2 linked regions of the Saccharomyces cerevisiae S288C genome follow. Each later gene encodes a partner of the first gene's protein in a complex. Each region holds a gene or a part of one and is shown in the gene's direction. Other genes may lie near its edges.

Region 1 (5,730 bases):
CATTACACGATGATGAGCATAGAACTTCCTTCACCTACACCACTTGGAATAATTCTACCGATACATTGATGAAAAGAAAAGAGGAGCGACCAGTAGAATCAGCCTCTTGTTCTCAGTTATCCATTGCAACCATAAAGGCGGAAGAAGATTTACTATACCAAGATTATATCAACAGCGGGAGGGAAAGCTCATCTCCGGAAATTTCTCCCTTGAATACCACAACCTCATTACCATTTTTTCCAGGTGATAATATGAGTGACAGCTCAGGAGAATATGAGGAGAGAACCTCTCTTAGCCCTAATAAAATTCACATTTTTCGTGATTATTTTTATAAGTCGCCGTCACCCTAACCATCGCCCATATTACAATAATAACAAAATCCTTGGAATGAAGAGAATAAAATTTTAATTAAAATTAATAAAATAGTTAATCATATTCTTTTGCCTTCATAGATTAGATATGAAATATTTTGCTCACATAAGTTAATATTGCTTTTGCATTTTTGTTTCTGACTTTAGTTTCTCATTAGTCGAAATGACTTTAGTTCTTTAGAAATATTTTAAATTCAGTGGGGGATTTTCGTTCTTTATTGGTGCAAATAACGATTAGTTTTTCATTTCACGATATTTAGCTGCAGTTGATAGGTGATATATCTGCTTTAACTCTTACCTTTACAGTTTGTGATGAAATGATAGGTTTAAACAGTCGTTTAAAGAGTTGTATAACAAAAGGACTCTTAACAATCGAAGTTTTTTTAACATGTTAACACCATCTTTAGTAAACGTTATATTATTGAGTATGTGAAATATACTAGAAGTTCTCCTCGAGAATATACGAATCAATAAAAGAGAAACAATATTTCTCCACAAAATCTTATAATTATTACACCTTTCGTTTTATATGTTTCATTGTCCTATTACATTATCAGTCCTTGCATTTCAGCTTCCATTATATTTGATGACTGTTTCCCAATCTTTATGCCATCTTGTTACACCGCATATGATAATAGATTCTAGTAACATGAATACTACTAATAAATGATATTTTAGAGTTTCATTTCAACAAATATACTATGTGAAACAGTAGTCAAATTTAATATGAAACCGAACATGCGAGAATTGAGGATTAATAGGATGTGAAACATATAAAATGGAAGAAAGATAATTACAAAATTTTGTGGAGAAATGTTGTTTCCATGTTATTGAGTCTTATATCCTTGAGGAGAAACTTCTAGTATATTGTGTATACATAATATTATATTGCCTTAAGCAAAATGGAATCCCAACAATTATCAAATTATTCACCAATTGATCATACACAATAGTTGATTATCATTTCAACATTATAACCTTATACAGAGAGTAATATACTAATGGATGAATACTACCAGTAGAATAAGACATAAACAAATATGATTAATGTCACTTTTTGCTTTTTTGCCGTCATTCTTTTTTATTTTTGTATAATTGGTGGTGTAACGTGGATTAAACATAAATAATAGGTTTCGTGGTCTAGTCGGTTATGGCATCTGCTTAACACGCAGAACGTCCCCAGTTCGATCCTGGGCGAAATCATTTTTTATACCTGTTATATTTCATAGAAATGTAGTAGTATTGCGAGATGAATAAAATGTCTGCTATTCAATAGTAAGGGCTTCTTTCCCCCACCTCTTTTGTTTGATTTTAAAATTATTATCAAGTAACGCGTTGTTTTCTTGTCGCGAGCCTTTTATTTACAACGAGTAAGGGTCAGGATATCTATGGAGTTTCTAGCTTGATCGTTATCACAAACTTTACTACTAAATGATAATTGTTGGTATGAACAGTATATATATATATATATATACATGTTCTGATCTTGAAAAAAAAATAAATAAAAAATGTTATTGATTGCAAGAATTTGGAAAGCAATTCATATGAGAAATTAAAATAACCAATTCCAGATTCTTTTTTTTTTTTTTCACTTTTCGAATTAAGTATCTTAAATACTGCACTTGTATATTTATATTCTTACTGTTGTAAAAAGAAAGACTAATGGCCTTTGTCAATTGCACTTTGGGTAAATTGGAAAGCAATAATATGAAAATTAAACGCATCGCGAAAATCTTGCGACCATTTAGTAAACAAAGAAAATAACCTGTCACTGACCAAAAAAAAGAAAGGTAAAGGAAGCAGCAGTAACAATATCTTTATCCTTTGATAGGTGGTAACTGACTTCGTTACTTTATGAGATGTCCGGCTTTAGCCTTTCCGAGTATCTGACCAAGTTCCAAACAACAGATCGAGAATCATATCCTCGCTTGCAGGACCCATCCAGAGAACTGAATGTTATCATAGACCAATTGGCCGTTTCACCCGAACAAATAGATGCTAGTCCAGATTCACTAGAAGCATTAATAGATCTTTGCCATGACTTCCCGCACTTAACACCGAAATTACAAACTCAACTAAGCTATTTGATAAGTTCATCTCTGTCGAATCTGTCAAAAGATATTAAGGCTAATCTCTCATCAAATGTTAACTTTACTGAAATTGGTGGCCTGATACCGCAGTGGAAAAGGCATTTAGAAGAGTATGGCTACCTTATTCAGGTACTTTTGACGTTTTTACAAGATGAGTTACATAAGGTCTCCTCGCAGTCTACCAATCTAAACCGTTCTGCCAAAAACAGTAAGAATGATAGTGCAAACGTCGAGCTGTTTAAAAGAGACTGTAATCAAATGGAAAACTTGCTTGAATCTATAACAAAGCTACTGGAGATTAACTTATCTAAGATATTTCAGACAACTCCTGAAAAGGATTTGTTTATTGGTTTGTTCACAAGACCATTATTTGTGTTATTAGAGATTGAACCTGTGACGAAGGTATCATCACTAAAGATGTTTATTCAAAGGATTTTGGCTATGTGTGTTAAAAATCACGGTCAAAGTTCAAGTATACAAAGTTCATTGATGACAAATTTAACTTATTTTCTTCATTTGTCGGTTTTTAATGCAGAATTACTAAAACTATTGAATGATGAATATAACTATCCACAACTAACAGAAGATATCTTGAAAGAAATCAGCACCAGGGTATTTAACGCAAAGGATACCACAGGCCCAAAGGCAATATCAAATTTTTTGATTAAATTATCAGAGCTATCACCAGGAATAATGCTTCGACAGATGAATCTTGTCATCACCTTACTCAACAATAGTTCTATAACATTGAGATGTTCCGTTGTAGAAGCATGTGGAAATATTGTGGCTGAATTGGCTCAAGACCCACAAACTATGGAACATTATAAACAACAAATAGCCGTACTTATTGAGTTACTAGAAGAAAGATTCCAGGATTCAAATCCCTACGTTAGAACGAAGGCGATACAAGGGTGTTCAAAGATCTGCGATTTGAGTTCGAAATTTAACAAAAGCAAAGCTAAATTTACTTCGTTGGCAGTACGATCATTGCAGGACCGCTCCTCTTTAGTTCGTAGGAACTCAGTAAAGTTACTTTCAAAATTATTGCTAAAACATCCTTTTAAGGCCATACATGGTAGCCAATTGAGGCTGAGTGAATGGGAAGAATATCTCAAAGGATCTGAATCACAGCTAAATTCCACTTTAAAGAAAGTAGAGTCACAAGAAACTCTGAATGACACGATTGAAAGGTCTTTGATTGAAGAAGAGGTAGAACAAGATGAAGGTCAATGTAGGACCGAGTTAGAAGGTTCTTTCAATAAGAGCGCAGAACTTTCTAGAATAGAAAATGAGGTAGAGAATATAAATGCAACAAATACCAGTGTTCTCATGAAGCTAAAGTTAATGATTGTTTACTATAAAGATGCCATTAGTTTCATTAAAGAGATACACAAGAGTATTGAATTGATATCTAATTTGCTGTTTTCTAAGAACAGAAACGAAGTTTTAGAATCAATGGACTTCCTAGTTTTAGCAGACGCTTTTGACATTGAGTTAAGCGAATTTGGTATAAAAAAAATGCTGCATTTGGTTTGGATGAAGGGCACAAACGATGAAGGAACGAGTATATCAGTACATTTGATAGAATGTTATAAGCAGCTATTTTTAACCGCGCCAGATAGTTGCAATATGCAGGAGAAGGCGGCACATATTGCCAAAAATTTAATTAATCTAAGCATCGGCGCATCTATTGCAGACTTGGCCTCTTTGGAACAGCTATTAGGAATGATGTATGAACAAAAATTGATTGATCAACATGTCATTAATATCCTTTGGGCTATTTACAATTCTGCATCGAAGGCCAGTATGCAGAAAGAACAAAATGTGAACAACCGTGACTCCGAAAAAGGGTTTTCTAAGGAACAAATTCATGGTTCTATTATTATTTTAGGAATGTTATCGTTAGCCGATAACGAAATAGCATTAAAAGGACTGGAGTCACTTTTAAACATTGGACTTGGTGCCGTTGGTTTAAAAGATCTGACCCTTTGTCGGTATTCTTGTTTAGCGTTAGAGAGAATGGTTCCCAAGAGAAGCACTATTATTACCAAGGCAATAAATCAAGAGCTTGAAGATGTTGCAGTGAAAAAGTTGTATGCCATAATTATCAACTATACCAAGGATAATGAATATTATCCTATGTGCGAACAAGCGCTTAGTGCACTGTTTACAATCTCTTCTAAGCCCGATATACTAGCTACAGATCTGATTAGAGAAAAGACAATGATGACATTTGGTAAACCTGAAGAGGAAGACTCTATTTTGTCGTTAGAACAATCATCTAGAGTTGTTTCTCTCAGTCAATTATTATTCATTGTAGGACAAGTGGCAATTAAAACACTTGTCTATCTAGAGAAATGTGAGGCAGAATTCAAGAAAAGAAAGATCGAGGCAGAAACTCGGAACGGTAAAGTAAAAAACCAAGGTGCAGATGTAACTAACACCACACAAGATAACGGTGGTGATAAAGAGCTAGAAATGATAGGAGGTACTAATGAGGACGATTTCACGGATGCTATTCAATTTGTAAAAGAGAATGAATTACTATTTGGAGAAAAATCTATATTAGGGAAGTTTTGCCCAATTGTAGAAGAGATTGTTTCTAATTCAAGCAGGTTTAGCGATCCAATGCTTCAAAGAACGGCAACCTTATGTCTAGAAAAACTAATGTGTTTATCATCAAAATATTGTGAAAAGAGCCTGCCGCTATTAATCACAGTAATGGAAAAATCTCCTGATCCTACTATTCGCTCAAATGCTGTCTTAGGACTAGGTGACATGGCAGTATGCTTCAACAACTTAGTAGACGAAAACACAGATTATTTGTATCGCCGTTTGCATGATGAAAACTTAATGGTACAAAGAACATGTTTAATGACAGTTACCTTCTTGATTTTAGCTGGACAGGTTAAGGTTAAAGGACAATTAGGAGAAATGGCCAAATGCCTAGACAATCCAGACCAGGGAATAAGTGATATGTGCAGATTATTTTTCACCGAGTTAGCATCCAAGGACAACGCCATTTATAATGGATTCATCGATATCTTTAGTAATTTATCGTCAGATGATTTATTGGGTAAGGAGAGTTTCAAGAAAATCATCAAATTTCTGTTAACTTTTATCGATAAGGAACGGCACCAAAAGCAATTAAACGAGAAATTAGTTGGAAGACTGAGAAAGTGCGAGACCCAAAAGCAATGGGATGATATTGCATTCGTACTAAACAATCTACCATACAAAAATGAAGACGTCACTGCATTATTGGAGCA
Region 2 (3,672 bases), on another chromosome or scaffold:
AAAAAAAAAACGAAAAAAAACATAACTAAATTTAAAGTGCAGCCAAACAATAACCCTGAAAAATCTAAATATCTTAGAATTTTTTTATTTTGATTATTATATATTATTATTATTCTTATGGTAAATAATGCCCCTACTTTTCTTCTAAGGAAATGAGTTACTACAAAAATAAGGAAATATCGCCTGCAAGCGGTTTTTATTTTGGAGTTGTTTTTTTTTTTCCCACAATAGCCTCTAGTTTATTCCATTCTTAGCACTGACTCTTTTTTCCGCCACTATTTCTTATAAAAGGCCCGAATTTCTGGCACGGACGTTGTTTTTAATAATAAAATATTGAATGACAGTTAAAAAATCACGTAGTCAGTTAATCTGTTTAACTTGAAAATATGTCTGAATCAGTGGCCATTATAGGTGCAGGATTAGTAGGCTGCCTTGCAGCTTTGGCATTCTCCAAAGAAGGCTACAATGTCACACTATATGATTTTAGACAAGATCCTCGATTGGACACCACCAAAAATAAAAATTTGAAATCCATTAATTTGGCTATTTCTGCTCGTGGCATTGATGCTCTGAAATCAATAGATCCGGATGCTTGTGAACATATTCTGCAAGATATGATTCCCATGAAAGGCAGGATGATTCATGACTTGAAAGGCAGACAGGAATCACAATTGTATGGCTTGCATGGAGAAGCTATTAATTCTATCAATAGATCTGTATTAAATAATAGCCTTTTGGACGAATTAGAAAAATCTACAACAGAACTGAAGTTCGGTCACAAATTAGTCAAAATCGAATGGACAGATGATAAACAAATCTGTCATTTTGCCATTGGGGAAGATTTGAAAACCCCACATACTGAAAAGTATGATTTTGTCATAGGTTGTGACGGAGCATACTCTGCGACGAGATCGCAAATGCAACGTAAAGTTGAGATGGATTTTTCACAAGAATATATGAATTTACGTTACATTGAACTTTACATCCCGCCTACTGAGGAATTCAAGCCAAACTATGGCGGAAATTTTGCAATAGCTCCTGACCATTTGCACATTTGGCCTCGTCATAAATTCATGTTAATTGCGCTCGCCAACAGTGACGGCTCGTTCACTTCAACCTTTTTCGGTTCTAAAGATCAAATATCAGATCTGATAACTTCCAAGTCACGTGTGAGGGAATTCTTAATCGAGAACTTTCCCGATATTATTAATATTATGGATTTGGACGATGCTGTCAAAAGGTTTATCACTTATCCAAAGGAAAGTCTTGTCTGTGTAAACTGTAAGCCATACGATGTACCAGGCGGAAAGGCCATCCTACTCGGCGACGCTGCCCATGCAATGGTTCCATTTTACGGCCAAGGTATGAATTGCGGATTTGAAGATGTGAGAATTCTTATGGCGCTATTGAAAAAGCATTCAGGAGATCGTTCAAGAGCCTTTACTGAGTACACTCAAACAAGACATAAGGACCTAGTTTCTATTACTGAGCTGGCAAAAAGGAACTATAAAGAAATGTCACATGACGTTACATCCAAGCGGTTTTTATTAAGGAAAAAGCTAGATGCTCTCTTTAGTATTATAATGAAGGATAAGTGGATACCTTTGTATACAATGATATCTTTCAGATCCGATATCTCGTATTCTAGAGCTTTAGAAAGGGCTGGAAAGCAAACACGTATCTTGAAATTCTTAGAATCTCTGACACTCGGTATGTTATCTATTGGCGGTTACAAGCTTTTCAAATTTTTGACAAGAGAACGTTCCTGAAGCCAGTTTATTCTTGCCATCCGTGTACGCTAGGAGAGGATTATTAAAATAAGTGATATATACATATATATATATATATATATATATATAATACACTAATTATTTTATGTGATGTTGATCACGCGAAACGGTAAACGGCTCTGTTCGCGCTTTCTTTGTTTACATTTTAGTGAAGTATTGTCAAGATAATATCCATATGGTTGAACTTTTTATATTGGCTAGTTAAATACTCTATTTATTGCACCAAAAAATCATCTTAGTGGACTTTTTGGAGCAAAAAAAACCAGCAGGTAGTTATATAAGATGACTACACAACTAAGGTATGAAAATAACGATGACGATGAAAGAGTAGAATATAATCTCTTTACCAATAGATCCACCATGATGGCAAATTTTGAAGAATGGATCAAAATGGCTACAGATAATAAAATCAATTCCCGAAATAGTTGGAATTTCGCATTGATCGACTATTTTTATGACTTGGACGTTTTGAAAGATGGCGAGAATAACATCAATTTTCAGAAAGCATCTGCAACCTTGGATGGGTGTATTAAGATTTACTCTTCGAGAGTTGATTCAGTGACAACGGAAACAGGTAAGTTATTGAGCGGGTTGGCACAAAGAAAGACGAATGGGGCATCTAACGGAGATGACAGTAACGGGGGAAATGGTGAAGGGCTTGGAGGTGACAGTGACGAAGCAAATATAGAGATTGATCCCTTAACTGGTATGCCTATATCTAATGATCCTGATGTGAATAACACTAGGCGGAGAGTGTACAACAGAGTTTTAGAAACAACATTGGTGGAGTTCGAAACGATCAAGATGAAAGAGCTAGACCAGGAATTAATAATTGATCCATTATTCAAAAAGGCCTTGGTTGATTTCGATGAAGGTGGCGCCAAGAGTTTATTGTTGAACACATTAAACATAGACAACACTGCAAGAGTCATTTTCGATGCATCAATTAAGGATACACAAAACGTAGGGCAAGGTAAACTTCAAAGGAAAGAAGAAGAATTAATTGAAAGAGATAGTTTAGTAGATGACGAAAATGAACCTAGCCAGTCATTGATAAGTACTCGTAATGACTCAACCGTAAATGATTCCGTTATTAGTGCACCTTCCATGGAAGATGAGATTTTATCTCTTGGTATGGATTTTATAAAATTTGATCAAATTGCGGTGTGTGAAATTTCAGGATCGATTGAGCAACTAAGGAACGTTGTCGAAGATATTAATCAAGCGAAAGACTTTATCGAAAATGTTAACAACAGATTTGATAACTTCTTAACTGAAGAAGAATTGCAAGCAGCTGTCCCAGATAATGCAGAAGATGATAGCGATGGCTTTGATATGGGCATGCAACAGGAGCTGTGCTATCCAGATGAAAATCATGACAATACATCACATGATGAACAAGATGATGATAATGTCAACAGTACCACAGGAAGTATATTCGAAAAAGATTTGATGGCATACTTTGACGAAAATCTAAATAGAAACTGGAGAGGGAGAGAACATTGGAAAGTACGAAATTTTAAGAAAGCAAACTTAGTGAATAAAGAATCCGACCTGTTGGAAGAAACGCGAACTACTATAGGAGATACTACTGACAAAAACACAACGGACGACAAATCGATGGATACGAAGAAGAAGCATAAACAAAAAAAGGTTCTGGAAATTGATTTCTTCAAAACGGATGATAGTTTTGAAGACAAAGTCTTTGCCTCAAAAGGAAGGACAAAGATTGACATGCCGATTAAGAACAGAAAGAACGACACACATTATTTACTGCCGGATGACTTCCATTTTTCCACTGATAGAATAACAAGATTGTTCATTAAACCGGGGCAGAAAATGAGTCTGTTCAGTCATAGGAAGCATACCAGAGGCGACGTTA

What was found.
Region 2: the proteins of YCS4 (region 1) and BRN1 are in contact, whole or in part, in a cryo-EM structure (PDB 6YVU), measured with the Saccharomyces cerevisiae proteins. Residues at the interface, in NP_013374.1 of Saccharomyces cerevisiae: Glu365 (codon at 3,323), Gln368 (codon at 3,332), Asp369 (codon at 3,335), Ser370 (codon at 3,338), Arg375 (codon at 3,353), Arg405 (codon at 3,443), Ser406 (codon at 3,446), Gln408 (codon at 3,452), Asp409 (codon at 3,455), Arg410 (codon at 3,458), Trp589 (codon at 3,995), Ile641, Ser646, Arg742, Asn786, Tyr789, Pro790, Glu793, Lys805, Asp807, Arg815, Val840, Val841, Lys856, Tyr860, Lys863, Cys864, Ile917, Arg957, Thr958; in NP_009455.3 of Saccharomyces cerevisiae: Thr166 (codon at 2,568), Leu167 (codon at 2,571), Phe170 (codon at 2,580), Thr172 (codon at 2,586), Ile173 (codon at 2,589), Lys174 (codon at 2,592), Ile184 (codon at 2,622), Asp185 (codon at 2,625), Pro186 (codon at 2,628), Phe188 (codon at 2,634), Ala191 (codon at 2,643), Leu192 (codon at 2,646), Phe195 (codon at 2,655), Lys201 (codon at 2,673), Leu203 (codon at 2,679), Leu204 (codon at 2,682), Leu205 (codon at 2,685), Asn206 (codon at 2,688), Asn209 (codon at 2,697), Ile210 (codon at 2,700), Asp211 (codon at 2,703), Asn212 (codon at 2,706), Thr213 (codon at 2,709), Ala214 (codon at 2,712), Arg215 (codon at 2,715), Val216 (codon at 2,718), Ile217 (codon at 2,721), Phe218 (codon at 2,724), Asp219 (codon at 2,727).

The regions. Positions count from the first base shown.
Region 1 is NC_001144.5:683,703-689,432, reverse strand, and holds the start of YCS4 (condensin subunit YCS4), read left to right. Parts: upstream 1-2,230; coding exon 2,231-5,730. Other genes in the region: protein phosphatase regulator PIG1, read left to right, coding at 1-350. UniProt on the Saccharomyces cerevisiae protein: Regulatory subunit of the condensin complex, a complex required for conversion of interphase chromatin into mitotic-like condense chromosomes.
Region 2 is NC_001134.8:38,759-42,430, forward strand, and holds the start of BRN1 (condensin subunit BRN1), read left to right. Parts: upstream 1-2,072; coding exon 2,073-3,672. Other genes in the region: BNA4 (kynurenine 3-monooxygenase), read left to right, coding at 387-1,769. UniProt on the Saccharomyces cerevisiae protein: Regulatory subunit of the condensin complex, a complex required for conversion of interphase chromatin into mitotic-like condense chromosomes.